4 linked regions of the Schizosaccharomyces pombe genome follow. Changing the gene in region 1 together with any one later gene gives a genetic interaction. Each region holds a gene or a part of one and is shown on either strand. Other genes may lie near its edges. The genes, in order: par1, reb1, eif21 and sgf29.

The links.
Region 2: mutations in par1 (region 1) and reb1 together harm fitness more than expected from each alone (negative genetic interaction), as found in Schizosaccharomyces pombe (2 studies listed by BioGRID).
Region 3: mutations in par1 (region 1) and eif21 together harm fitness more than expected from each alone (negative genetic interaction), as found in Schizosaccharomyces pombe (2 studies listed by BioGRID).
Region 4: mutations in par1 (region 1) and sgf29 together harm fitness more than expected from each alone (negative genetic interaction), as found in Schizosaccharomyces pombe (2 studies listed by BioGRID).

The regions. Positions count from the first base shown.
Region 1 is NC_003421.2:1,472,141-1,480,930, reverse strand, and holds par1 (serine/threonine protein phosphatase PP2A regulatory subunit B-56 Par1), read right to left. Parts: upstream 5,359-8,790; 5' UTR 5,155-5,358; coding exon 5,131-5,154; intron 5,088-5,130; coding exon 4,992-5,087; intron 4,952-4,991; coding exon 4,738-4,951; intron 4,407-4,737; coding exon 3,652-4,406; intron 3,600-3,651; coding exon 3,301-3,599; intron 3,212-3,300; coding exon 2,953-3,211; 3' UTR 2,828-2,952; downstream 1-2,827. Other genes in the region: condensin complex non-SMC subunit Cnd3, read right to left, coding at 1-32, 95-204, 253-481, 542-673, 714-2,627; SPOM_SPCC11E10.09C (alpha-amylase-like protein), read left to right, coding at 7,605-8,564, 8,631-8,790. UniProt on the Schizosaccharomyces pombe protein: The B regulatory subunit might modulate substrate selectivity and catalytic activity, and might also direct the localization of the catalytic enzyme to a particular subcellular compartment. Has a role in cell shape control and septum formation.
Region 2 is NC_003423.3:191,252-195,482, reverse strand, and holds reb1 (RNA polymerase I transcription termination factor/ RNA polymerase II transcription factor Reb1), read left to right. Parts: upstream 1-1,873; 5' UTR 1,874-1,940; coding exon 1,941-2,917; exon of another isoform or gene 2,918-2,958; coding exon 2,959-3,285; intron 3,286-3,336; coding exon 3,337-3,547; 3' UTR 3,548-3,731; downstream 3,732-4,231. Other genes in the region: ubiquitin ligase Mfr1, read right to left, coding at 1-638, 685-805; asparagine--tRNA (Asn) ligase Slm5, read left to right, coding at 3,807-3,994, 4,069-4,195.
Region 3 is NC_003423.3:3,413,052-3,421,788, forward strand, and holds eif21 (translation initiation factor eIF2A), read left to right. Parts: upstream 1-5,805; 5' UTR 5,806-5,836; coding exon 5,837-5,861; exon of another isoform or gene 5,862-5,899; coding exon 5,900-7,605; 3' UTR 7,606-8,138; downstream 8,139-8,737. Other genes in the region: protein Nca2, read right to left, coding at 287-2,008; RSC complex bromodomain subunit Rsc1, read left to right, coding at 2,970-2,995, 3,035-3,103, 3,168-5,484; Sm snRNP core protein Smg1, read left to right, coding at 8,286-8,318, 8,366-8,437, 8,483-8,590, 8,630-8,650.
Region 4 is NC_003423.3:2,415,976-2,423,481, forward strand, and holds sgf29 (SAGA complex subunit Sgf29), read right to left. Parts: upstream 4,071-7,506; 5' UTR 4,007-4,070; coding exon 3,558-4,006; exon of another isoform or gene 3,457-3,557; coding exon 3,171-3,456; 3' UTR 2,763-3,170; downstream 1-2,762. Other genes in the region: aminopeptidase Ape2, read left to right, coding at 1-180; pvg3 (galactosylxylosylprotein 3-beta-galactosyltransferase Pvg1), read right to left, coding at 1,191-2,327; BAR adaptor protein Hob1, read right to left, coding at 4,815-4,883, 4,952-6,283; cysteine desulfurase Nfs1, read left to right, coding at 6,785-7,506. UniProt on the Schizosaccharomyces pombe protein: Chromatin reader component of the transcription coactivator SAGA complex. SAGA acts as a general cofactor required for essentially all RNA polymerase II transcription.

The sequences.
Region 1 (8,790 bases):
CTCAAACTGGTGGAATCCATGGTGAAACCATGCTATACATTATTAGTTGAAAGAACCATTTTGAATAATTCTCGCTGAATTAGTATTAACTTACACTCTCGTATGTTTCTAATTTGCGTTTTGTCCTCTGATAATCTGATGAAGGCAAGTCAGTAGGGATTTTAAGCTTCCCCAATAAGGATATCATAAATTTTCTCTCTTTTCCTACATTTGTTGTTAGTATTAATGTCGTTTCTTGTATTTAATCCCCACCTTCAGAAGCATTAGGTAACGACTCAAAAATCATGTTTGCTAAATGTAGATGTACATTATGATTTAAAGCGATATAATCATCTCCTGTTTGTGTTTTTCTTTCATACAACTTTTCGTTGTCAGTCCAATCTAACATTTGCTGAGCTATGTGTCCTATGCTTAATTGAACATCATCTTCATCAAGATCGCGGTATATTTCTAATAAGCTTAATAGTGCATCGCAGAATATCTAAAATGCTGTTAATTATCTATTGTTTGTTCAATAAAAAATAATGATAATTTTCCTTACAGTAGCTATTCGCCATTGATTCTCGTGTGCACCAAAGGCATAAACAGGAAAGAAATAGCCAAGAACTTGCCGTAGCGCATGATTATCAACTGTGTTAGGCTCAAAATATTGAATGATGAGGGGTTTTAGAAACTAGTTGTTGTAAGTAAGTTATAAAAACACAGCAACATACCAGTTCGTCTCTGTAATGCAATATTACCAACAACTTGGCTATCGCCTCAGCACCGAGAGTCTGTAATTCGGCATTTTCGAATTCCCCTAAAGCTTCAAAAAGTATAGAAGAAATAGCATCTTCATATTCGGTGAACTTGGCTTTTCCATGTTGTATTAACATATCAGTCAATGTACGAATTGCGGTACACTTTAAAACCACAGAACCTTTCTCGTAACAATGTAAATACAAAGGAACGTTTTCAAATGCAAGATCAGCATTCAACAAGCAAACCAAACTAAGACACTCTAATCCTTTTTCTCTAATTGGCAAGTCATGGCTCCTCACAGCCGGGATAATTAAAGTCTTAAGCATGTCTACCATATATAAGTTTTCATTTAAGGAGGATGTGATGTTTTCAAATAGACACTGAACGTACGAAAGGCATCTTAACTCATTAAAAGCTTCTTTATATCCATCCATGTCGTCAGGTTCAGGCTCATTTAGTTCATTAGGTGGTAAAGATGGAGATGGTGACTTTTGCGAAACAGTAATCTCCTCACCCTCATAATCATTTTTATTCAGTTCTGGAGCATTGCTGTTCCCTTGTTCCTCAGTCTGGTTTTGTGAATGTCCTTGTTCAAACACCTCCGTAATAATTTCAACTAGCAATGAGCAAAAATCGTTTTCAGAAGAGCAAAGTTTCCTTAATAGTTCTATATGTAAAGAGATTAGTGAATCTGGAAGGGCCATAGTAGAAAGACTATTTGTAAGACTCTTTAAAAGCTTTCTGCGACCAATTTCATCAACCATGTCCTGGCTTAGACCAATGTATAACAGTTGTTCAATTATAAAACATGACTCATCATAAGAAGACTTGTCTCTAAGAGAAACATACTGCCTTTCGATATAATATGTAAGTTGAACAACTTCAGGCATTTTATCCAAAAGGTCAGTGTAATTTTTCTCTATACAAATTTCATTGAATGTCCTAGCAAGCAAGGAAGACTCAGCTGTAAGCTCTAACCAAAATTGTTCGGGGAATTCCAGCTGAGACAAACTATCCACGCGTACATCAAAGAATTTTTTAATTGCTAAAACTGCAACATCAGAGTTGTTAGACACATCAAGTCTCTCTAGAAGTTCCAAAAGATTGTTATCAGCGTTTTCAATCCACTGATATGCAAGCATATCAGCCGCGGCTTTTTCAACAGATTCATCACGATCATTTAATCCCCATTTCAATATCCTTACTCTCTTCTTTATGCTTAAATAACGAAAATCTCCTATTTTCGGTAATACTCGGGCATAGACACATTTTCGATTGGCAGCATCAACATCGCGTGCTCTTTCAAGAATAAAAGGGAGAGTTGAGTTGCTAACTTCAATATTTAAAAGAACAGACCTTCGCACTTCAGAGCTAGGATCGTTTTGCAATAAAAATAAAAGAATATTTCGAACATCGTTTTCTTCGTCACCGGTGTCTTCTTGAAGCCGAGATAAAGCAACAACAGCTTCAAGGCGGACTATCGATTCCCGGTCTAAAACTCTGGACAAAAGCTTTTCTTTGAGGGTATTGTAAAGGTCATCATCAATTTCTTTTACACAATTAACCACTCTGGCAATAATTTGGCAGCAACGATATCTTACAGTTTTATCTTTGGCATCTAACCCACGAAGTATATGTTTTAAGATAGGTTGAACAATGTCTATCTCAGGATCCTTCTGCTGAAGGTAATTAACAAAGGTTACTAGGAACCTCAAAACGCGGTCAGCATTTGAGTTTCCTTTTTTAACAGTTAATATAATATTTAGCGCCCTTAGGATGTCGGTTTCAAATCCTTCCTGCGTCCGTAGGGTAAACAATTTGTTGCATAGCTTTCTATGACCAGCAATTGAAGTTTGACTAGATGAAATAATTTGAATGCAAGACATATTCAATAACAATTATATTATGCCAATTTTAGTGCTTTTGCTGAAGTTGAGGAGCACCTCACTGGCATACCTACAGTTGGCTCTCAGTGGTAGGTTAAGCTGGGGTATGCAAACAAAAAAATGAACCCTTCTAGCTTAGGCCCACTTGAGATTGCAACATTCAATTTGAAAAGAAGATTGCTACCAAGTTACCGATTTATATTTTATTACAATCAATTAAAAGAAAAGGAAATACTAACTGAAAATGATATAGTATGTAAAATGTAAAAGAGGGAATATTAGAGACTAAGTACAATATATGGATCATTATTAAAATATGCAAGTCCTAACCATTGGTGTAGTCAAGTGAAAGTTTTTTTAGTCTCTCAGTAGTAGAGTGCACAGTAGTAGGGTTTTGAGATTTAAGTTTCATAGCATTCTCTTTAGCGATGTTTTCTAGTATAGTCCATCTTTCTTCTCGTATAATTTCTTCATCTTCTTTTTTCCGACGACTCTCAGAATACTCAGCATCAACTTCATCGAATAAAGAAGGATTAATGTCCATGAACAATTTTAAGACGTTACAAACCATAGAATGTATAACTCTAACAAAACGTCAGCAAGAACTAATAAACCACTTTCTTTATCTTAAATAAAGAAAATAAAAAGGGATTTTAAATGAGTAACTACTTACCTATTCCAGTGACTTTTTGAAATTTCAAAGAGTGCGGGATATATAATTGGTAGTATAATGTCAACGTTTTCTTCAACCAAATGCACGAAATAGTCGTTGTTAAAAAAATATAAAGCTCTTTCAGCAACTTGGAAATTTTGGCTAGATATGGATGTTGCCAACTTGTGGAAGAGCGGCACCTGGATCTTTAAAAACTCTGAAGGTTCCATCACTTCAATAATATCTTCAATTTCATTTAAAAATAAGACTTCTTTTGAGCTATTTACTTTCGGCCAGTATCGAAGTAAGCCCAAGACAACCTATATTGTCATCGTTAGATAAAACGTAAGAAACACTAGGAAATATACATACCTCTTCTGTAACAGATGAATCCTTTTCAACAAATTGAACAATTCCATAAGCAATTTGAGGGTAATAAAGGGGAAGGGATTTGGCTTTATGTAAAGGAATAAGAACACGTGACAAGAATATTTTGTGTTCCTCTTTTAGTGGTAGGGCAAATCCATTAATGATACTCCCGAGGATTTCCAACAGTTCGGCAATACCATTAAATTGCTCGTTCTCATAGACAAACTGCAAAAATAAATTATTAATTGAGCGCCTTATGAACGCACGAAGAGAAAGAAACTTTCCGTATATTCTATGAAGTGTAGTCTTTAGAAAATCACGTTCCCTAGGATCTTCGCTGTCGAACAATACAAGTAATTTCCTAATAAATTTTTGATTAATATACACCTTGGCTACGGATGTATTCAAAGACGGAGATTCAAAAAATCTTAAGAAAAAATCGTAAACAAGGTGAAGATGGGGCCAAGCAACTTCCAAAGCCGGCTCATCTTCTTCAAGATCCATGATTTCACCGGGAGGATTAGAAGGAGGAGGTAAAGGACGAAACACATTTACTGCAAACATATGAACAATGGATGGATACAATGACTCATCAATTGCTTCCTTTCGAACAGATATTAAATCAATGAGATCTTGAAGAGCCTCTCGCTTCACTTCTTTTCCGTAAAGATCGGTGGAGGGATCGTTGAAATCGAAAACAACGCAACATTGTTCTAATTTTTCCAACGCCAGAGAGTGCCATTTATTAACAGGAACATCTAAATAGACAGGTTAGTAAATTAAATTGGTTGACAACAAAGTATATTGATAACACCTCAGTGTTTGTCAACACCAAGTACATTAAATCAGAAAGAAAATCCTATTCAATGTTTGTGGTTTAAATCATCTCTTAGTAAAATAAAATGAAATGTGAGAAAAAATGGAAGGATTCCTTTTTCGATATCAGACACATCAAGCTGAACAGTAAATCCACAAGCGACACCAGCATGTGCCGCATTGAACACCATCCAATTTCATGACATTCTAATAAGAAACAAAATCTTTTATAACTACTTAAAACAATCAATGAAGTGTATCCATAAAACATACCAGTAAAGGATGGAAGACGGACCAGGTTTCGATTTTCAGATATATGGTAAAGGGATGAACGTTGTTTACGAACAGTCCTGACATTCTCTAATAAGATCTCATCTCTAGGAGTTGGTGTGGTATCAATAGGTACTTTCTTTCCTGAATGTTTTGGAACAGTAAGAAAGTCGTTTTGGGCACCAATCACAGAACCATTGGGATCCGTCGAGGGAGACTATGAAAATGTTAAAAGTAAGTAAAAACCTTTTCCGTACCTCTTTCGGAGCCTTGCTAGAGTCATGGGAATTCGATTTTTTGCTTTCCTTCTTCTTGCTAGACTTCTGGGTATCTTGAGATTTCCCTCGAGAAAGCTAGATTCTGGTTAATCAAATAAACACTAGATATGGATCTTACCATTTTGCTTTTAATCCCTTTCATCTTGAGGGCTATTTGGAGCGCTCCAACCCTTTCTTCTTTGAAGCTTTCAAAACAAGCCTACAAATTTGGAGACAAAGGGAGTTCAATTTGAAGCTGTTTAGCAGCTCTTATATAACCGTAAAGGCGCTTCTAAATAGCAAAATTTTCGAAGAAAATTCAGCCGCTTTCTGAGAATTTAACACTTTTACTGCTTTTTTGGAATGTACCGACAGGTGGAGATCCGGTCGAGGAAATACCGTGTAGCAAACACACATAACGAAACATAACACCACTTGAAAATTTTGTTTAATGTACCGGTACGTGAAGCTACGAAAGTACAAAAGGTCGTAATTTTATTTAACGATTCTTTAATGTACATCGGAAAGTGGGTTTGACAATAAACAAAGAAAATAAATGATACTTACCCAAATTTCTGAAAAAAAGCGTAATTGTATATGTTGCTTATAAGCTTTCTAACATCAATCTCATTTCATAATCTCCCAATAAGTTAAAAAATTTACAGCAACGTGCTAACAGTATGGATCTATCGGTCGTTACATTTTAGGGTTCGCAGTTGATTTCTACTTTATACAAGAACGAAAATTTAAATGAAGCCTTTATTTTACAAAACCTTTGAGTCAGTGATCGGTGCATCTCATTTCTCAAAAATGTAAAAACTAACTCCCAAGGCGAGACTCGAACTCGCAACCTTCTGATGACCATCATAAGAGTCAGACGCTCTAAACCGATTGAGCCACTCGGGACTTGCTTGTTCATTACGAGATTAAGTACATAATATATATTTTACAAAATGTAGTGTCTTTTAATTGTTAATAGTCAGAATGTCTTTTTACTAAACATTCGTTGACATTTTATTGTGAAGCTTAATGTTGATTAAAATGTCTGTACGCCAAATTATTTTTGAGGCTTCATAGCTTAGGCTAGTGGGTGGGTTGCGAAAACGAATGCATTGACTGGTTTGAAATTGGTATTTATTCTTTATTTAGACACAGCACTAATGATACTGGATTGAAAAAAATTCCTTGAAAAGAGTTACGAATAAAAATACTAAAGTATGGTAAATATATAAGTGTTTCCTTCCCTACCCCAATGAAACGAGACATTCGAGTGAACTACTCCTATTCTCGTACTAGGAATAGCATCGCAGGGAATAGATGCTGTTGAGTTCACTAGACTTGAGAATGCATATAAAAATCAATTTTGTACGAGCGAGTAAATCGTCAATTTTTGTTAACGTAGCATTCCTATCAATCTGAACAATTTTTTTTTTTTAGTTTTCAAATTATTTCAATGATCATTCATATCAAGATTGTCATTTCTCAAGTTATTTTTCTATGAACTACTCACTAGTTAACCTACTTGAATAACAGAATAAATACTATTATTTAACACAACAAATGTCTACGGCCATACCTAGGTGAAAACACCAGTTCCCGTCCGATCACTGCAGTTAAGCGTCTGAGGGCCTCGTTAGTACTATGGTTGGAGACAACATGGGAATCCGGGGTGCTGTAGGCTTCCTTTTATTCTTTTTGCTTTTTGTTGTATTTGTTTCTAAAGAGGTATAGTCCAGTTATTATTTCTATTCATAGTCTAACTTCCAATGTATGAGGAAAAACATACATAACAATTAACTAGCTTGTTCAAGCTTCCATCATTACGATGGATTGGTGAATTACAGACAGCGTGAAAATGGAAAATGGAGTGCTTCCATTTTCCATTGTCTTTTAACTTAAAAAAATTTTTGAGTTTTCGTCTTCTTTTGACAATAATGCTGTATTTTGAATACATTTTTTCATTTCTGTTATTACCAAGTGAAGAAAAGCATACAGAAAATAACTAAATCAAATATAATGTCAGTTAACAAACTACAAGCGAGTTTAAGAATATTTACGCAGTATAAAACACTGTTTTTCTCTGCTTTACATGCGCATTTGCAGTAGGTTTGAAATGTCAACAAACCCAGCACATACACCTTTTCCAACTACCATCGTTACTATTTACTTAACGATGCATGCCTTATAATGTGTTAACTTGTTTTGTTTAGTACAAGTTGAATGTAAACAAAAGCCGAAAAGCGTTGAAATTAAAAAAAAAAAGCCGCAATCGTCGGAACCGAAAGGCGGAGTATTTAAGACCCTCTGTATTTCAATATTCTTACTATATTTTTGGCTCTTAATAAAAGCAGCCAAAAGACTATAACCTTTAAGTGAGAGTGTCGGTTTTAGCAAACGTCCCTTTTTGAAAAGTAAAACAAATTCTGTACGAATCTCGGATACTTTTTTAAATTTGTACTGAAAGGGAAGATTTCGAGAAGAAGACTCTTTGTTGATCAGTAAGCAAGGCTGAAGAAGCGATCCAGACGAAGGCGTAGCTGAAGGCTTGATTTAAAGCTGCATTGTAAACGAGACAGTTACCAGTGAATGTTGTTTACTTGACGAAAAGGGACTATGAATCTAATCTGCTCCATTCTGCCGAAAAAAGAACCTTCCTACCTTAAATTATGGCGAAAGCAAGTTATATACCAGGTATTAACGGACAGATTTGCTTTGGATGAGGATAATTTTTATGCAAAAGCTAGCGGAAATCTTTACCTTGGGGGTACATGGAAGGGTATTACTCGTAACCTTGATTACATTAAAAGTCTGGGATGTACGGCAATATGGATTAGCCCAATAGTTAAAAACATATCTGAGACTACGGATTGTGGTCAGGCATATCATGGGTATTGGGCACAAGATATGACTCAGTTAAACGAGAATTTTGGGACAGAAGAAGATTTGAAAGAACTAGTCAATGCAATTCATGAGAAAAATATGCTTTGCATGGTTGACATAGTTGTCAACCATATGGGTCATGCCGGAAGCAAACCCGTAAACTTCTTACTTTATCAACCATTTAACTCTGGGAAGTATTATCACAACTGGCAGTTTGTACAAAATTACGATGATCCCCATGAGACAATTACAGGTTGGTTAGGAGATTCACATGTGAACCTACCAGACATTCGAACCGAAAAGAATGAAGTTCGCAAATTTTTTCAAAATTGGGTTTCTGATCTAATTAAACGTTATCAATTTGATGGTATCAGATTGGACACAGCCAAACATGTCGAAAAATCCTTCTTCCCAACATTTATTGAAGCAGCTAATGTATTTACTACAGGAGAAGTTTTTCATGGAGATCCTAAAGTCGTCGGGGATTATCAAAAATATCTCCCTTCGACTTTAAATTTCCCTTTATTTTTTCAATTGCGGGAAACCTTTCTTGACCCCAAACATTCTATGTTTTCATTTTATGATAAGGCCGTACTTGATGTTCGACATTACTTCAAAGATGTTACCGTCTTGTGTAACTTTTTGGAAAATCATGATTTTCCTCGCTTTTTTCATGAAACCAAAGACATCGCCGTAAGTCTATTGAACAATATTTCAATTTAGTACCTGCATTTTTTATATATTTTAACATTTATTTAGCTGGCTCTTAACGCATTAACTGCACTTATTTTCATGGACGGTATTCCAATTATCTATTATGGACAAGAACAGATGTTTGACGGTGGTAGCGATCCTGACAACAGAGAAGGTCTTTGGAAAAGTAAATACAATACTTCCAATCCAATGTTTAGACATCTTT
Region 2 (4,231 bases), on another chromosome or scaffold:
GCATATTTCTTGTTCATGAACTTTCATCATTTCGGCACAGCAACCTGGTGCTCTTAGGTCATGATGTAAAATTACTTCGTCTTTGCCTCCACTTGTGAGGGTATTATCGTTCCATGCTAATGCTGCCACCCTTTCGGAGTGACCTTTTAAAGATCTGACTGATTTCGTAGACTCGATATCCCAGATGTAAATTACTCCTGAATCTGTCCCTACAGCTAATTGAGTTCCTTTACCTGTCCATAAGACGCTTGTGACATGATTTGTTGCTCCGAAATCATGTAATTGAACCACTTTACCACTTGCTGCTGACCAGAGATAAATGCTGCTTGCTAGTCCGACTGCCAAGACATTAGATTGGCCCCAGTCAAGCAAGTTTAAATAAAAGTCATTTTTTAAGTAAGGTGCATCCAAGATTTTATATGGAGTTTTTGGAAAAGCTCTTTTGGGCTTTTGTGGTTGCCGCAACATATCTTGAGATTGCGGTGAAATAGGAGATAGAGAATATGATTTTCTATCAGGTGTATCCAACATTTTCTTCTCAATTTTCCTTTTGTCTTCTCCATAATAGAAGGCTCTAGAGCGAGATGCTTGTGAACCGAAGAGCTCCATGCTTAGTAGCTCCATGAATTGCCTTTGAACTGCTGTCGTTAGTAATGGGAATATAAAACTAAAAAAGGTACATACTAGTGCCAGAGGTTTTGCGCCTAAGATTTGATCCATGGCTTAACACACATTCTTTGAATGACTGGAAACTAAAGTTGAACTCATTGCTAACGTTGCGAATGGGAATGAATCGGTCTCCCATTGTCAACCAATTCTTTATAAGTTGAAGTTAGTCGGGATGGAAGGGAAATGTTGAGATTCCTATTTCGTGAATAAATACCTTCCATGCTTTATTTGTTTTTACTGAGTGCTTTTTTCTGCCCGTCTGCAAGACATTGCTACAGAATTATGAAACCAGGTGGCTTGAAAAAATGCTAATTATGAGCTATAATGACTGCAGTAAACAAACATTTGCTAAATACTCTGTATAACTGCTAAAAATAAAGCTATCCTGTGATCGCCGTATTACCTAATGCTACCGTTTAAACTAAACAAATGCACTCATCAAAACAAACTGTTGATAAAAAATATCTCAATAACAATATTATAGTCATCAACCAGCAAAAGGTGATGTTATGGTAAGAGAACTCCTAAAATATGATGTTCATAGAAAAACAACAACAATGATCAGTTGACCACGATGTGCCAAACCCATTGTTTTCTGAATGTTTATTATGATCATCAGATCCCGGTCTTGTAAACTTATTGCCAAGAACCCAATTTCTTCAAAATGTTCAATTAATTAAACATTTATTTTAGTTGTTTTGTAACAGAGTAAATAGTGCTATAGATTCGTTCAAAAAAATTCCAACTACTATCGAATGCAAATACTTTTTACCATGTATGTGAGTACAAAAAAAATTTTCTCCTCATTCTCATTTCAATTGATTTATTCCTAACTATTTCTGTATTTCTTTTGGGATATTCATTTTTAAAGACAAATCTTCGTATGCTACTAATTTTTCCAATTAAATACTATTGGTATATTTCTGCATTTCTTGTTTATTTGATTAATAGTACAATTTCATATTTTAGGACGATAATAAATATGAGTTTTTTTGTACTAAGTGGTAAGCAAAAACAACATTTTTTGTATATCATTAATGTTTTCGTTGTACTACTTAGCATTGCCTATAAGGAAATGCAGCGTGTCGATATATCCCTTAATAACAAACCATCTTTATTTCAGATTTACACTCCTCAGTTTGTGTCCCACCCTTCCTAAATCGCTGTGCTAGCAAACTGCGAATTAAAGCTCACGAAGCGTTTTGTACGATATTAGCGATTGATAAGTTGAAGTGATTACTCAATTATAGTACTTCAAAAATATAATCTTTATGGATACCTCCGTATTAAATCCGGAACTTCAGATTCATGGATTTATTGGCGTGGATTCTTTGCAATCATCAAGGAAACGAAAGAATGATTTTGATGATTTTCCACTTAACAAAGGATTGAAAACAAATAACAATGACTATTCTGGATCAATAGAGCCTAAGTTTTCTCCCGCGTTAAGCATTAAAGAAGATGGTAAAAATGATCGCAATTTCGAGGCCTTAATGTCTCTTCAAGCCCAAGACTCCAACCTTTCTGAACAAAATACATCCATTCATTTGGATGCTTTAGCCTCCTCTTCTATAGCTTTAGGAAATGATAATGTGGATTCGAGCGCCTTCTTGTCAAAAGTTAACAAAGGTGTGAATGCCATGAGAAACTCTACTTCGAATCAAACAAATGATTCTATTTTAATAAGCCCTTCGGAAATTACCAATATGGATCCATTTTTGAAAGGTAGTGCTAGATGGACTGCGGAACATTGGGACTATTTAGAACGACGAATGCAAAACTTCTGTCAAACCTATTCATTAGACCATACACAGGTAGCCGATTCTCTACACGAAAAAAGACTTCACGGGCCACTCTCTTCTTTAGTTAAATTATTGGTTCAAGAAATGCCTAGTTTTACCAGAAGAACAATATTACGGCACCTCCGGGCCCTTTACAACATCCCAGGTTATGAGAAATATAGTAGAAAAAATTCTTCTGGAAGAGGGGATTTCGGGGTCCAGGAAACTGCCATTATTTCCCAAGAAGTACATAATTTTATTATGGATCAAGGATGGTCCGAGTATCAATTTTGCAATCAAATTTGGGCAGGAAAATGTCCAAAAACAATCAGAATGTTTTACTCTAATTTATATAAAAAGCTTTCCCATCGTGATGCCAAGAGTATTTATCACCATGTACGACGTGCATATAACCCGTTTGAAGATCGCTGTGTGTGGAGCAAAGAAGAAGATGAAGAATTAAGAAAGTATGTGTTTATATTTTTATTCAAAAATCATTAACGTTTAGAAATGTTGTTGAACATGGTAAATGCTGGACGAAAATTGGTCGTAAAATGGCTCGAATGCCTAATGATTGTCGTGATCGTTGGCGCGACGTAGTACGTTTTGGCGATAAATTGAAACGAAATGCTTGGTCGTTGGAAGAGGAAACTCAGTTATTGCAAATAGTTGCTGAACTCCGTAACCGTGAAGACTTAAGTTCTGACATTAATTGGACGCTTGTTGCCCAAATGTTAGGTACTAGGACTCGTTTACAGTGTCGTTATAAATTTCAGCAATTGACGAAGGCTGCTTCAAAATTTGAACTTCAAGAAAACGTTTGGCTCTTAGAAAGGTAAGTATTGACCTACATAATTTCTCTTGCTTGCTAATATTTTAATTTAAGGATTTACGACTCGTTATTGAACAATGGTGGTAAAATTCATTGGGAAAATATCGTAAAAGAAGCTAATGGACGATGGACACGCGATCAGATGTTGTTTCAATTTATAAATTTGAAAAAAATGATACCAAGTTACGACAATCTTCCTCTTCTAGAAGCCACGAAGTCAGCCATTGATGACTTTAAAGTGGTACTTTCTGGATTCTCCAATTGACGTCCTTACAATTTTTTGAACGAAAAAATTTGTTTTAACTTACTTAAGTAACTTTGTATCTTTTTACAAGTCCTTATTAAAATGACTTAATTCTTAACGCAACACCTTCATACTGAGGATATGTAAAGTCGCCTTACTACTACCGCTCTTTGCATTTCTAGTTATTGGCGAATAGTTTTTGGAAGAATTCATAATTTCCTTAGCAATAGAGGATTTTTTGTAAATTAATAATTAAAATTGAATTGTTTGCTAATTCCGTATGAATAAATTCCAACTACCAAAAACTTTAAAGTCTTTATGGCATCACCCACATAATGGAGAGTTAATAAGCATAAACGGCTGGGTACGATCTATCCGAAAACTAAAAAATGTTTGTTTTGCCATGGTTTCTGATGGTACATGTCAACAAGCCCTTCAAGTGGTGACTTCGCCTGAACAGAGTAAGAAGTATGGTTGAGGAGGAGACATAAAATCTAAATTATATGATATCTTTTTCCTACTAACATTAATTTATTATCAAGGCTATCATATGGTGCTAGTGTGAATATTGAAGGCCAGTTGGCAGTTTCTAAAAACGCAAAACTTGGATTGCAGCAGTATGAACTGTTGGCTGAGAAAATAAAAATTTACGGCCAGATAAATGATGATGTATGTGCTTTCAAAATTGAATATACTGCAAGTCTA
Region 3 (8,737 bases), on another chromosome or scaffold:
TACTAATCATACTGTTATAAATTTTCGTTTACAAGAATGTTATTCCTGATTATATAACAACAAATCATCAGATTAGCAATTCAACAAGATTCTGCTTCATCATTTGTAAACTCAAATAAGCAATACCATAAAGTAAATTAGGAAATCTGACTGGTGGAAATGATGCATTTATGGAAAAACTGAAAAAGTAAATATCAAATCTTTTTCCACTAAACATCAAACGTTTTTTAACCGAAATTTTGTTATTATTCATGAAAATCATGTATGAAACATTAAATAAAAGTGCTTAAATACTGTTTTTAAATAGACGGTAAATCCGATCAACTGCCCGTAGTTGTGCTTGAACACCATATGAGCTTGACTGTATGTCTTCGAGATCCTGAAGTAGGTCTTCAGCAACATCCTTAGATAGACCCATATCCATGGACATTATGGCCATCAAGTTAACCTGGAAAACCAAGAGTCCATAACTCATATCATCTAAAGAATTCATTTTCTGTGACCGAACCAAAATACGTTCGGCAGCACGAAGTGATTGTCTAAATCGTTGGCGGCGTTCTGCCCTTGAAAGAGTATCGTTGTTGAAAATGTTGGCCTTTACATACCTGATAATAACATAGCAGAATATAAGACTAGGGGTTATTCCAACTGTTGCAAAGACGAGCTCTTGACTTTTTAATAGTCGATCAATACCACTTAATGCTACCTCGACGTCAACTTTTGTTTTTTGCAATTGAATAAGCAGTGTCCGAACTAGATTCCCCGAAACGGCAGTTCTAATCGGGGTTTTTAAGTCATGTTCATATGCTTGCAAAACGTACGTAAGATCTCCTTGCTGTACTTCTTGTTTCACCAAATCCAAGTTTATACCAGCAGGAGAAGTATCGGATACAAAATCAATCACCATTCTCTGTAAACTTTCCATATCACTTTCTAAACTTTTGGTTTGCAACAAAGTAATTTGCGAGTCAGCCCTGTTAGAGCGGATGGTGTCAAATATTCCTAAAATCGGTTTTTGAATCCAATTAGTGTAGAAATCTACAGCCGTTGAATAAAGATAATCTATCCATAGACGTATGCTGGTTCTGTTTTTTGTAATTATTTGGGTTGACAGCCAAGCGGAAAGTAAAGTAACGAAAATTTTAGGCCAATTTCGTTCTATTGCACTTGGACGAAAATAGGCTTTAGCCTCAAAATATTCATCTGTTGGATGGCTCAGATTATCCAATGTTATTGAAAGAATGTCTGGCAAAGACTCTGAATTGTCAATCTTCTGCCCTTGCAGTTGTGAGAGTCTTTGGATCCATTGGGAAACAACTTGTTTTAAATCAGCTTTTGCTGAAATGCCATTTTTATCACCACTTGATGAAGCAGCATCACTAACTCCTTCACTCATAATTGCACGAGTTAAACATCCAATTTTGCAAGCATGCTCGTCCCTAAGTTGACGAAGTCGCTTTGCATTGCCACGATATTCATGTCGTATGAGAGAAAGTAAACTAGCCTGTGAAATGAAAGCATCACGGGGAAAAAGAAGGACATCCGACTTAGAAACTTTAGGGAACAAATTTTTTTTAGCAAAAATATTAGAGAAATTTTGAAATTGTAGAATTGATTTGATGGAATTTCGACAAATGTGATATAGTCTAGTAGGAAAAGATTGAATTAGGAATAAAACCCTTGAATACCAATTTTTATCGATGCTTTCCCAATAATGAAGGTTATCAGACATAATCATCGCTTCTTCTAACAATTGATCTAGCATTTTTACGTGTAAATGAGCTGAACACCTCCCCAATATTACCCAATACAGATAATCTTTTGGTCCCTTATCTAGCTCCTTCACTTGAGTAATAACATTTTCTAGTTGATAATTTGTCAAGTTTGTTGAATCCAATTGTTGAAATACATGAAATGTTACTGAATTGGAAGTGGTCTCTCCATGCACCGCAGCAAGCTTATTAAAATTTGCATATACATCCTTCAAATGTTTTTGATAAAGTTCCATATTGCCAAACTGTTGTTATTCACCCGTTTTGTTGCAGTCTCAAAAGCAAAAATAAGATATTAGATATAATGACTTCTCTAGATATGCAAACACGCATTCACTATAGTTGAAGAATTATTTGGGCATTTAAAACAAAAAAAAATAGTCAGTTAAAATATATGATATTTGAAATGGGTGTAGTTCTCGGAAAACGTCAAGCACTTTGTATGACCACATTTTTCGTAGGAAACATCATTGGTCTCATTAACCATGCCAACAAATGACTTTACTTTGCTGGTGAAATTAGAAGGAGTGATCTAATTCGCTAAATAAATTTATTAATTATCTGGTGAATAATACTATGCAGGCTTATGAACACATACGTTAGGTATCATTATATGTAGCTTCTTTTGTGTATCAATTAGTATACACTATTGACAGGTTTTTTTCCTATCTAATATGACTCTCGTTAATACAATAAGAGCATATCTCAATTGAATGGCTGTTCCTCATTATATTGGCGAGCTATTTCAATGTTATGTTATTAAATCACCTCCATATTAGAATATTCCTGATATCTGTACGAGTAGTACACTATTATACGGATATCTCTTCTTTAAAGAATTTTAAATATATACAAAACCCCTGCTGAATTAGCTAATAACCGTACTGAAACTTGGTCCAGTTTTAATATAACTGTAGTGCTCGAGGGAAATGTGTCCGTCTTTCGTTGTGATTTCATTTGGAATCGTGAGCATCGATCCTTTATTTATCTTAAAGATGAGATAACGCACCGTCGCATAGCATAGTGAGATTTAAACATATTACCAAAGCTGTGATAACGATAGCAAAAATACATTAACGTTGATTTGCAGATTAATTTAACATATCCTAACATAGGTTTGATATACCCCGTTAAAAATCTTACGAACAAGGTACGGGTACGTCTTCCACGAAAACACCAAGAAAATCCATCAGTGAGATGTCCTCGAAAATTCGGCCATCCGCGTAAGTGCAGCACTTTCTGTAATTTCAATTAACAAATAGAGACGACAAAAAACTCCAACGAGTTCTTTATTTCTTTCTCGAACGAGTTCGAGCGGCAAAAGATGTTTCGTACGTAGAATTTATTATCTAAAAACTTTCCAGAATAATAACTAACATCTATTTTTTTTTCAAGTGGTCAATTACTTTCTCCTCTAATAGATAACGCTTCAGTTGATACAGCATCAGTATCTCCTTCGTCAAATGGCCGACCTACTACTCTGAAGTCGATTCAAAGCAAGATTGACGAATTTCAGTACCATGATTTCTCTGAATTTGTCTCTGATCTGGCTTATTTATTTATTAATGTTAAGGCTCTCTATGAGGGAACGCAAACATATAGCTTTGTTCAAGCCCTTGAAGAATTTTGTATACAGCAATTACGGACGTTTCAACAACAGGGCTACATTCCAGTAATAACCTGGCCAAATACGGACTCACCATCTGCTACCACTAGTAGCCCTATCAGTAGAAATCCAGAATATAGTGTTTCTCCACCTAATGGTTCCAAGTTTGTTAAAAATGAGGACGAAGCTTATGACTCTGATTTATATGTGGAGGAGGAGGACTCGGATGTAAAAGGAAGATCTATGGTTGGTAGGGATGGTAGATACAAATCTGAGGATTTAAAGCGCCGAAAACTTCAGCCTTCATCCAAACCTCTTAGCTCATTAGAAGCTCGCGCAAAGGTCATTATGCGGCAGGTAAGGAGATACAGAGATGGGAGTGGAAGACAGTTGTTTGCTCCTTTCGAAAGATTACCTGATCCTCGTATGTTTCCTGAGTATTACCAGGCTATTGAACAGCCGATGGCTCTTGAAGTCATTCAAAAAAAGTTAAGCAAGCATCGTTATGAAACAATCGAGCAGTTCGTAGATGATTTCAACCTCATGTTTGATAATGCTAAGTCATTTAATGATCCTTCAAGCCAGGTCTATCGTGATGCAGATTTCTTAAAAAATTATTTGGCAGACGTACTAAGACTTGAAGCTGGAAAGCTGGATAGTGAATTCTTTAATTATGAAACCGATTCTCGAGCCTCTCCTCAATTACCAAAGAATGATATACAGCCTGCTGTATCCATTGATGGCACATTACTCAACGTAGGTGATTGGGTATTGATTCGTAACCCTGCCGATTCAAGTAAGCCAATCGTTTCCCAAATTTATAGAATCTGGAAATCCGATGATGATATTAATTATGTTACTGTTTGCTGGTATTTAAGACCTGAACAAACTGTGCATCGAGCTGATGCCGTTTTTTATGAAAATGAAGTCTTCAAAACATCCCTTTATAGAGATCACCCTGTCTCAGAGATTGTGGGAAGATGCTTTGTTATGTACATTACTCGATACATTCGTGGTCGACCAAAAGGAATTCGTTCCACACCCGTTTTTGTTTGTGAGTCACGTTATAATGATGATACTAAACAATTCAGCAAAATCAAATCATGGAAGGCATGCATGCCCCAAGAAGTTAGCGGATCTGAATATGAGATGATTTTGTTTGACCGACCTATTACTCTGACAAAAGTTGCTAGTCCATTGCTACACTTATTGGCTAGCAAATCTCAGGGTTTGCCTTCACCTGCGACAACTGATAGTAATACACATATGTTGCCCTCACAGGGATCACTTCTTCCCCCGTCTAGTATTTCAGAGACAAAAAGTTTTTCTACCAAGGCTTCGACTCCGTTATCGACTGACGATATAGCCACACCTCTGTCCTCTGCTCCAAATCCTCCCAGTGTAATGCCCACGTATGCTAGGAAAACAAGTTCACATTCAGAAAGATCTTCACATTCTTCGTATCACAATTCTTCTCATGTGCCTACGGCTGCATTCAATTCACCGATTATGCGTACTTCCACGAAAAGTACTAGTCCTATTCCTGCTCGTCCGTTTTACGCTCAATCTGGGTCCTTGCAATCCTTAAATACGACGCAACATTCTCATCAAATTTCAGGTGGTCATTCAGGACGAATGAACGTTCCTTATGCTAAATTAAGCTACACTTCTCATAACGGAAGGCACGGGGGATCCAATGGTAATATATCTGGGGCGAAAACCCCAATGACTAACTATACCATCAACAGTATGCCTTCTCTTCCAGTATTTCCACCAGCTTTCATTGTCCCAGGTACGCACCAAAAATTGGATGAATCTTCCCCGGTTCCCGGAATCGATGATGTGACTGTGATTAATACTGAAACTGCTAAAATGCTTGATAAGGATGAGCACCAGAACGTTTTATGGTACACGGTCCCCCCGTTAGACCCAATTCCTTTGGAGAATAGAAATGGCAGTTTAACTCACTCGGTAGAGTATGTTCTTTATAAGAAGAGCAAAGGTTCACAGGTTATTACAGAAAAAGCAAGATCGAATGAGTTGAGTCGTGAAGCTAAATTTGAGAATCTTGTTGCCTCACTGTCAGATGCTTTGATCCCACCATAAAGTGAAAATTACTCACTGTGATTTTTAGAAAACAAATATTGTGATAGATTTGAAGATTTTTAGAACCTAATAATGTATATACTTTTTGTCTATGTTTCCACAAATGAATTTATAAATATAGTCAAGATGCGCCTTTGGCGAGATTGAGTTTTTGCAAGTACGATAATTATTTAAAAGCAAGTTTAAATTGGTATTAATTCTTTAGAAGATGTACAGTTGAGAACCCACTTCATGCTTTGTTTTCATATTACTGGACTCTTTAGGTGTCGCTAAATCGGCGGCTAACGCATTTTGCTCAAGTATAGCAAATAAGACTTCTACAACCAACAATCGCTTTCGTGGACTCCATAGCATGTCTCAAAAAAGCCAGTTTGCGTGTTCGTAAAATTTTTCTAAGTTGTCAGCTAACATTTAGATCGGTCATCAAAGTCCATAGGGCTCGTGAATGCTAGTGAAAACTATGCTTCTCCTCCCAAATTTGAAGCTATATCTGAGCCTGCGCGTAACGCTTGTTACAGTCCAAACGGGAAACTCTTTGCATATGCCACTGCCACTCAAGTTGTTATTAATGACACTGAATCCGGCGCAAAGTTAACTCAGCTCCCTGCTGCTAACACCTACGAACTGGGGTTTTCACCTCTAGGCAAGTATTTGAGTACTTGGGAACGCCCTGGTAAAGAAGCAGATGGAACGCCTAAACAAAATATGAAAGTTTGGAATACTGAGACCGGCCAACTGGTTTTTAGCTTTGTACAAAGAAATCAGACTGGATGGAATTTACAATATACCTGCGACGAGTCTTTAGCTGCTCGCCTAGTCACGAATGAAGTTCATTTTTATGAAACAGGGAATATGTCTAAAGGTCCTATTGCTAAACTTAGGGTCGAGGGTATTAGCGATTTTGCCTTGTCTCCTGGACAAAATCATGCTGTTGCTGTTTTTATACCAGAAAAAAAAGGCGCACCTGCATCTGTGCGTACGTACAGCATTCCCAATTTTAACTCTCCTTTGTCGCAAAAAACATTTTTTAAGGCTGATAAGGTGCAATTCAAATGGAATGCTTTAGGTACTTCTCTGTTAGTTTTAACGCAAACTGAGGTCGACAAATCAAATAAAAATTATTATGGTGAGACCAATCTATACCTTTTAGGTATTACCGGACAATTTGATTGTCGAGTTGACTTAGATCGTGAAGGTCCAATTCACGATGTTTGTTGGAATGCAGACTCCAAAGAATTTGGTATTGTGTATGGCTATATGCCTGCAAAAACTGCTATCTTTGACAACAGAGCAAACGTTGTAAGCATTATTCCTCCTGCTCCCAGGAATACTTTGATTTTCTCACCTAACTCTCGTTACATATTGTTAGCAGGCTTTGGTAATTTACAAGGTAGTATCGATATTTTCGATGCTGCAAACAATATGAAAAAAATAACCACGGTGGAAGCTGCAAACTGCACTTACTGTGAATTCAGTCCGGATAGTCAGTTTCTTCTTACTGCAGTTACTTCCCCTCGTCTTCGTGTTGACAACAGCATTAAGATTTGGCACATTACTGGTGCTCCCATGTTTTATGAAGAATTTAATGAGCTGTACCAGGCTTTCTGGCGTCCTCGACCTTTAAATCCTACCTTGTTGCAAAATGCTCTTACATCTGCTTCCTTACCTTCTCCGCCTACACCGCATGCATCGGCTAGTAAGTTGGCTGCAAAACCTTCAGTTAAGCCAGCTGGGGCTTATCGTCCACCAGGTGCTAGGGGTCAGAACTCTACCTTCTCTTATCGCCGTGAAGAGATCGATGTAATGAGCAGTGGAAGTGCCAATAAGCACGTCAATTCTTCTCGTCAGCGCGTTGTACCTGGAGCTACCCCTGTAATAGATGGAAACAAAAAGAATAACAAAAAAACAAAACCTGCTGTTAAACAAGTTGCACAACCAACTGCGGAGGTAAGTGACGAAAAGAAAATTCGTTCTTTGTGCAAAAAATTGCGCGCCATTGATGATCTGAAGTCTCGTCTCAATAACAATGAAAAACTTGAAGCCACTCAAGTTAAAAAGATTGAGTCCGAAGGGAAAGTTTTGGCTGAACTCAAGGCGCTTGGATGGACACCGGATGCATAGAAAGTTCTTGAGCAAGTGTATTGATTAAAGAATTTTATTTATTCTGTTTAAGAATTGAATTTATTGCATTCTCGAACAGCTTGGTTTTTTATAGCTGCTGACGTTGAAGAAGTGAATAAAGTTTTTCAAATCTTCAGTCGTTAGGTTTTATTAAATCAAAAGTTCGGCATCAGCTTGTTGCTTTTTTAAAACTAGTATTTTACATCACTTTAATGCTGGAATTAAATAATAGCACACCTGTACAGAAAAACTGCTCATTCGTGTTTTGAAGTCAATCAAGCACTAAGCAGCGTCTCTCCCAAGTTATCTTTGTTCGTTTGTCTCTCTTATCATGGCTACTTATGAGATTTCATTGTTCAGGTTGATTTTCAATAATCTTTTGTCATTCCCTCTTCTTCAAATTTAGACCTTATCTTAAGAAGTTATAGCACACGTCCTTTAAAATATCTACATATCACTGATTTTATTGAAAGTTAAATTCAATTTGGTACATTTTACCAAAGCTGATTCATATGTATAGCTTGTATTTTAGAATTGTTACAATTGGATTTTATTGATTTTGTAATAACCATTGGAATATTTTAGTATGAGATAAGTGACAGTGGGTAGCATAAACTGGTGCTACCTACAGCTGAGCTATATCACCACCAAGAACTACATTTTCTTTTGGCAAAAGCAAAATGTCTAAAGCTGGTGCGCCTGATCTTAAAAAGGTATGCTATTTTTATTCTTAATTTAAAATTCTAATTCATGGTTATAGTACCTAGATAGACAGGTATTTGTTCAGCTAAATGGATCTCGAAAAGTTTACGGTGTTCTTCGTGGTTATGATGTATGTTGCTAAATGTAAAAAAAAAAAATATCTAACTTTTATTAGATCTTTTTGAATATAGTATTAGAAGATTCCATTGAAGAGAAAGTTGACGGTGAAAAAGTAAAAATTGGCTCGGTCGCCATTCGTGGAAATTCCGTTATAATGATAGAGGTAAGCATTCAATGTGTTTTCTGTAATTGACCATAGCAGACTTTGGATAAAATGACCTGATAATTCAGAAATTGGGTTGTTTCTTTACATTTATTTCGTGCTCCAACCCTTATTAAAAATAAAGTGGTGTATTTACTTGCATAAAAT
Region 4 (7,506 bases), on another chromosome or scaffold:
AGTGGATTCACTCATGCCTCCGCTATTGATAAAATTAAGGAATTTTTTGCCGATAAAGATACGAAGTTGTATGAACGTGCACTTCAACAATCTTTGGACACTATTTCTGCTAATTCAAGTTTCATCGACAAATCACTGGATGATATCACTCGCTGGCTTAAGGAGAATCGTTATATGTAAGTCTTTGCATATTTAGAAACGGTATGTGGTGAATGCTTAAATTGTGGCATTTGAAACTGTCAAGTTGATCACCATGTTTTTATGAACGATGACTACTGCAAGTTATGTATATACTGATGGACGACGCCTTTACTTAGATTGCATACATCTATGAAATTTTGATTTTTGAAACTGACGTAAAATACATTTAAAGTTTTATAAATTTATGTTATAACAGTATGTTGTTTACTCCACACTGGCACTTTACTATTTTCAGTATACACCGACATCAACTAAAGGTGTGCAAAACGAAGGTGAATTACTGAATATTAACTGGAACTAATGTAACTTTAATTTCAATCATATAATAAAACGCTAATATAATAAATTTCTCGTATCGTCGGCCCTTACGCCAATCGCCTAAATTAATAGGACATAAGAGTAAGGTTCTTTATCAACGAGTTTTGATCTCGAGGTCGCAAAGTCTAAAAAGACTCTGGCAGTAGCATACGTACTAATTCACATAACCACCGTGGCTGACCCCTTAACTTTTTGATTAAAGAATAATGTAGCAAGCGCACTTGTTTATATAGTAAATTACATTTTTTAATAGGGTAGGGTTGTGACTACCTTAACGACTCGGAGCTGGTACTGTCATATCGCTGGTTTGAAATAACGAAATTTAAGGAGAAATTTAGCCGATTTCAAGGAATATTTTGATTGTATCTACATTTACTTGAAAAGACTTAATGTGTTTGTTGCAGATAGATGAGCATCGATTATACTTATATTTTTAGTGACTCAAAAAATCTCTAGCTGGTTTAAAAATGCATAAATTAAAAAAAATTAGAACGTAGAAAGAACTATGTTAACAATAGATGGCGGTTAAAACAAATTGAGAAAAGATTATAAAGAACGAAGCATTAGTAGATATGAAACATGTGTAAACGTTACGTTACGCACGGATCAAATAAATGAAACATAAACGAAGAATAATGCATATGCAAAGAATAACGATAGAGGAGAAACGATTAAACGTCCAAAGAAGGTAAAGGAATTGTTGCCTGAAGACACGAAAGTCGTTCAGTTTCTATCAAGGCACTGCAATTGGCACGATGTTCATACATTTTTTTAAACCAATTGCTTACCGTCGACAAGAGAGGGATGCTTTTAAGCTTATGGACGGCAATGGCGTCAATGCGTAAATAGCTTTGACGATAATTAAAACCTTCGTTGGGTAAAATCAAATCATACAATGTGCATTTAGAGAATTCCGCATTTTTTACATTACCGGAAAGGTAAATGCTATAGCCGGTCTGAGCATCTTCAAACGGAATAATAATATTACGGCGTTTAGCCACCTCATAAGCCATATCAGGAGATACTATATAGAAGAACCCGCACATGTACGGGAAGTCACGAACAGCGGTAGGTAATTCTCTTCGTGTGCAATCCCTTCCAAAATAAAAGCGGCTTTTCCCAACGTGCTCTTTCAACATTTCAAACAGACGGGGTAAATTCAAGAAAGAATCGTCATCGGCTTTAACAATAAAATCGTAGTCATGCTTTGGCTCGCCGAGATCTTGGAATTCCTTCATACCAGGCAACTCATATGTCTTAATACTTTGATTATATATAAAACTACCATGAAACTGAGTGCTGGGCATTATAAGATTATCTGCAAGTTCAGAAAAAAGAGGAAACGGCTGGTAGCCCTCTAAAAATGTTTGGAAGTATACAATGGACTTTCCAGCATCCACATTCTCCGGAATAGGTAGTACTGCTAAGTCACCATACGTTCGCTGCTCTTCGCGAATGGTAGCTAATTCCTGCTCATTCTCAGGTAAACCAAGGATAAATCTAACATCCACAGTATCATTTACGGCAAACTCCTTAATATATTCATTATAGTCGGTACGTAAAAAGTTACGCCTATCCACGTTCTTAGCTTGACTAAAAATCCCCAAATACAGTTTGAAAGGTCTGTCGTTCGCATGGGCAAGCGATTCATTTTGCTTAATGAAGGGATCTAAAAACAAATTCTCTACGTAGGCGAGTGAATGTTCTTCGGCCTGTAGACGATTTAGTACAAGAAAAGCAAAGGAAAAAGTAGCAACACCGGCAATTAGCACGTAAAGAAAAATTTTTTTTTTAGAATTTGAAAACATAGTGAAAGAGTTTAATTAAACGAGCACGTTGCGCCAGGAGGTCAATTAGAGAGACGTGAATATTAATTGTCCCTTTGAATAAAAGAATAAAATAAAACCAAACTTAAAGATCGTTGAGAATTAAACAAAAGACTCCTTGAATATATGAGCCAGCAAACAGAATATAACTCTGAAAGGAGTATAATGTTTGGTTCTGAAAACAAAGCTGTGCTTGGTGCCATATTCACGTCCACCATAAATACGCAGTCATAATGTAACCAGAAGAGCAGCTACTCAAACCCTTAATGCCCTCATAGCGTTGGTAACTATAAATGCGTTAACTATATATACCGGGTTGCTACATTTCTTTATCTCAGAGTCCATTAACCAAAGGATTCATACATATACAATTTTTCTATTTTGTTTATTTTTATGAATAATTTAATAGGAGATACTCGTTAAATGAACTTAGTTTTAGTATTCAGTTTCCTCTATAGGTGTTTGAAATTTTTTCTAGACTGTCATGTTACTACTATTTTTTAAAATTAGATTCCTTGCAAAATGTCAAGGAAGCAAGCAGATTTGGCGTACATTAGCAATGTTAGATGTGCAACACGATAGAAGCAAGTACTTTGAATGAGCCCTTGTCTTGGCTTAAGTTATTAACATGCGTTAACGCCATTAATATATAAAATATAAGGAACAACTCAACATCACAATGAATAAAAAAAATGTTAAATCTGAGTTATGCATATTACAGATAATGTCATCAATTTTTTTAAATGCTGTGAACCTAATATCGAAGTGAATAAAAATAACCTTTAACTAATACCTCCTAAAAAATCTGAGTAAAACGTTCCAGTTTTAACCATTGTACTCTAACACCAAATGACGCTCTACCACTGTTTCTTTCCCAACTTCCTCTTCTCCTTCAAATCGAAGTTTACATGATCCATCAGGCAGAGTGCGAATGACTTCTGCCCGATAAAACGTAGTAGTTTCAGGATATCGAGCTAAAACATTTGTTTTTGGGCTTATTGGGGGTAAAGGAGTTCCTTTTGCAGGAATTTGTATAAGATGATTAGCTGTAGTTTTATAAATTTGACCTGCATTACCGTCATCATCCGGTTCTGGATCCTGCACTTCAAATCTATGGTTTTGTTAATATACTGGTAAAAAAATATTATCAACATATAAGCTTAGAAGTAAATTTGAACTCGCGACTGACAATATTTGCTTTTGAAAACTCACCTCTGTTTTGCTCCTTCTCCAGTCACTTTAATAATGATACATTGAATCCAATCACCTCCCTCGTTATGCCTCGTGTATGGTAACTTGAAAGCTACAGACATGCCAGGTGTAAAGGTTACTGTATTTGCTGTAAAGCTTGTTCCTCGGTTTCGACGACTTCTCGTCAAAGGACTATTTGTAATTACAGGTTTTTCATTGGCTTTTTCGAGTACATTAATAATCATCTCAAGAGATTGCATTGTATGCTCCAATTCTTTTTTCTGTTCTTCAGAGGTTTGAATTCCCGCGTCACACGCTTTAATTCTTTCTTCAATTGGATTATCGTCGCCATCAACCGTTTTATAACATTCTTCTTGTTTTATTAAACTAGACCGAATGGGATTTAGGCTTTCATGAAATTTAACCCACATGGATGTCACATCCTCTTCAGCATTTATGGGGCGTACCATAATATCCTGTAACTGATATTCTCAAACAACACTTTTCATCATCCAATTTCCTTTGGTAGGTGCTAACTCACTTACTAGATTGATTTGCATGATACTATCAGCTATGCAAATTACTTTATTACAAATTTCATTAACACTCGATATTGTATTTACCGTATCGTTGCTGCATTAGGTTACGTAGTTAACTATTCACTTAAGTCATGGAATACTGTCTGTTAACGAAGTTCGTTAAACGATTCTCGTTTAGCAACGACTCTAAATACTGTATGTCGTATATTTCCTGCTAGAATACATCAATTCCGATTGTTATACTGTTGAAACTACAAATCCCAAAAAATTCAATATCACAATGAAAGCTCTAGTTCGAATCATGTTTTGCTTCAATCCTAGCTAGCACTGTTAAAGTATAGATATAAGAAAGGACAGCTTTGTTGATAGACTAGTTAAATTAAAATAAAAACAGTTAAACGTAATTAATATATATAAGTTTACGTTATTCAAAACATTTCAAAAAATGTGCTACTCTTTGAAGTACACGTCAGTAAGGAAACACGTTGATAAAAAGCCAGTATTCAAACATAGACAGTGTTAAATTATCACTGGAGATGATGATGTATGGAATACATGTCTAAATTTAAGCATCATAGTTAGAACGACAAAATTGATAGAAATTGAATAGCAGTGTAAAACTTGTTGAAGCGCGCACACAAACAGTAACCTGTAACAACAAGTCCTATAATCAAGCTTCTATATTGACTTCAGTAGGCAGCGAGATTTTAAGACACATCTAGGTAAATTTAAAAACGCTTTATTCAAGCTGAACATAATTACCAGGAAATTGACCTTGTGCACCGTTAAGTCGGCCAATCCACCATTCCTAAAATATATATTAGTAAAGTCCTTGTTTAATAAGAAAAAAATGAAAATTTAAGTTTAAGTACTTACATTTTGATTATCAGTACGTGAAACAACTTCGATACGATCGCCAGCATGAAAAGATAAATCTCCGGCTGCTTGGGCAGCATAATCATATAAAGCAACAACATGCTCTGCGGCGGGAGCCGCAGCAGGTGCAGGCGCTGGTGGAGGTACGGGAACTGCGGCTGCAGCTGCTGCTACCGGTGCAGCAACAGGTGTGGTCACTGCCGCAGCAGCAGGTTGAGGCATAACTGGAGGGGGAGGAAAGGCCGCTTGAGGGTATTGAGCAGCTGCTGCTTCAGTTGTAGTAGTGGTCGTCTGAACAGTTTGATAACCTGCACTTGGGGTAGAATAATCGGAAGCTCCGGCAACCGATGGCGTTGAGTATGGGGGTGGAATATCCGTAGCTGTCGAAGAGGAGGGTTCGGCTGCTGCTTCTTCACGCTTTGACGAAAAGGAAGAAGAAGAAGAAGCAGTTGCATCTTTACCACCCGGTCCCATACCCGGTCGTTTATACGTCGGTTTAGCGGTCTTAAATTTAGTAATCGTCAAAGCCTCTGCGCGATCTTTAACATCGCCGCGTCTTCTTTCGTACGATTCCAAAATATCGGTATTGAAATCAAAGTACTGAATTTCGCAGTGACTCATCTTTTCATAAAGAACGTAATAGACATTTAATTGCATATAGTAAAATCCTTGGAATAAGGGAGCAATGAAGCTCTGAGCCAATGCAAATAGTTTAGGTAACTCCTCCTTCAGCATTTCATTATAATATTCATATTCTTGGGAAGATTGTTCAAAGGCGGTTTCAGCTTCATAAAGCTTCTTCTCATCTTTAAGGCTTTTATCCTTCTTTTCCTGAAGTTTCTTGAAAGATGAACGATGACGATCATAATCCAGCTGCTTATGATCGCGTTTCAACAAAAGCTTATCTACATCCTTAACAATCTTGAGCAGTTCACCAGTTGGATTGACAATGCGAGTGTTGATAACATCCATTTCAGAAGCCAAATTCTTTTGGAGATCGTATACAATTTCCTTGTAAGCCTCGGCAGCCTCAATACCTTCCGCATTGCCTTCTTGCTCATACGATTCAGGATCCGAAGCACGCCCACTAATAGGCTTGTAAATTTCAATACAAGCATCGGCAAATCCAATTTGATGATTCAATAACCCATTAATAGCATCAGTATACTTTTTGGCGTCTTCAGCCAGCTTTTTCGCTTCCGTTTCTAAAGACTTAAACCGTCTTCCAGCATCCTCATAAATAGGATCTTTGGTAATCTCTCCAACATTAAACTTGCTGCGTAGAGTCTGCGGCGTACGCGCAAGTGCCTTTGTAAACCCTTTCCAGCTCATCAAGTAATTCTGGTAGTTGGTATGTCTGACCCTTTCAAATTCCCTTAACCATCCTTCTCCGTATTCACGTAGCATACTTCGCAGCAATGCTGATCGTTTCCTGTAATTGTGCCGAATCGCAAATACAGTATACTACGCAACGTCTCGTTATTTTTATTTTTATTTTTATCTAGATGAGGTGAAAACATAGTAAATATAAGGCAAACATTTGATTTTAATTTGCTCGTCTCTATGCTCTTTATTACAGTTTTTATTCGATTGAACAGTGTCTCCGTCGTTTACGATGCAATGATAACATACTGATAATTGCGCAGCTCTACATGTATTGGGTCGAAGCTTAGTTTTGGTTGGTTTCAGATACGCCGCCAACCAAAATTTTTATTAGTCAGATCGCAAAATTTGAACTTAGCAACTGCCAAATTATTTTAAAAAGGACTTGTTTCTTGTTGTTTAGGAAATAAATAAAGAATTAGCAAAATTTCCTCTATTTTGGAAACAACCATGTCCAAAATGGGAAGTTTGATGCTTTCTAGAGCAAGATGCCTTCTTGAACTACGAAGTGCTTTATTTTTTGTCAAGCGAGAGAGTCAGGATATTAATAATGTTAGACAGAGTCTTGGAGTTTACGGTAGGTCGTTTATGACTTCCAGTCGTATGGACAAACCTTCAATGAGCAATAAACCTCGTGAACAAATGTACGGGCTAGGAAACATGACGGCGGTTCAAGAGCCCATACCGGAAAATTCTTTGAAAACAGTAACTTTGGATCAAGCACAAACCGCTGCTAGTACGGTTACGGGATTGCATCCTATATATATGGATTTTCAAGCTACCTCTCCTCTCGACTATCGTGTACTAGATAGTATGCTTCCCTTCTTCACTGGAATTTATGGAAACCCACATAGTCGAACACACGCCTATGGCTGGGAAGCAGAAAAAGCTGTTGAAAATGCACGCCAAGAGATAGCATCTGTAATCAATGCTGATCCAAGAGAAATTATTTTTACATCTGGCGCAACTGAATCAAATAATGCTATTTTGAAAGGTGTTGCCCGATTTTACAAAAGTAGGAAAAAGCATCTTGTTTCCGTTCAAACTGAGCACAAATGCGTTTTGGATTCCTTACGTGCTCTCCAAGAAGAAGGGTTTGAAGTTACTTTTCTACCTGTTCAAACTAATGGCCTTATTAATTTGGATGAATTACGTGACGCCATACGTCCTGA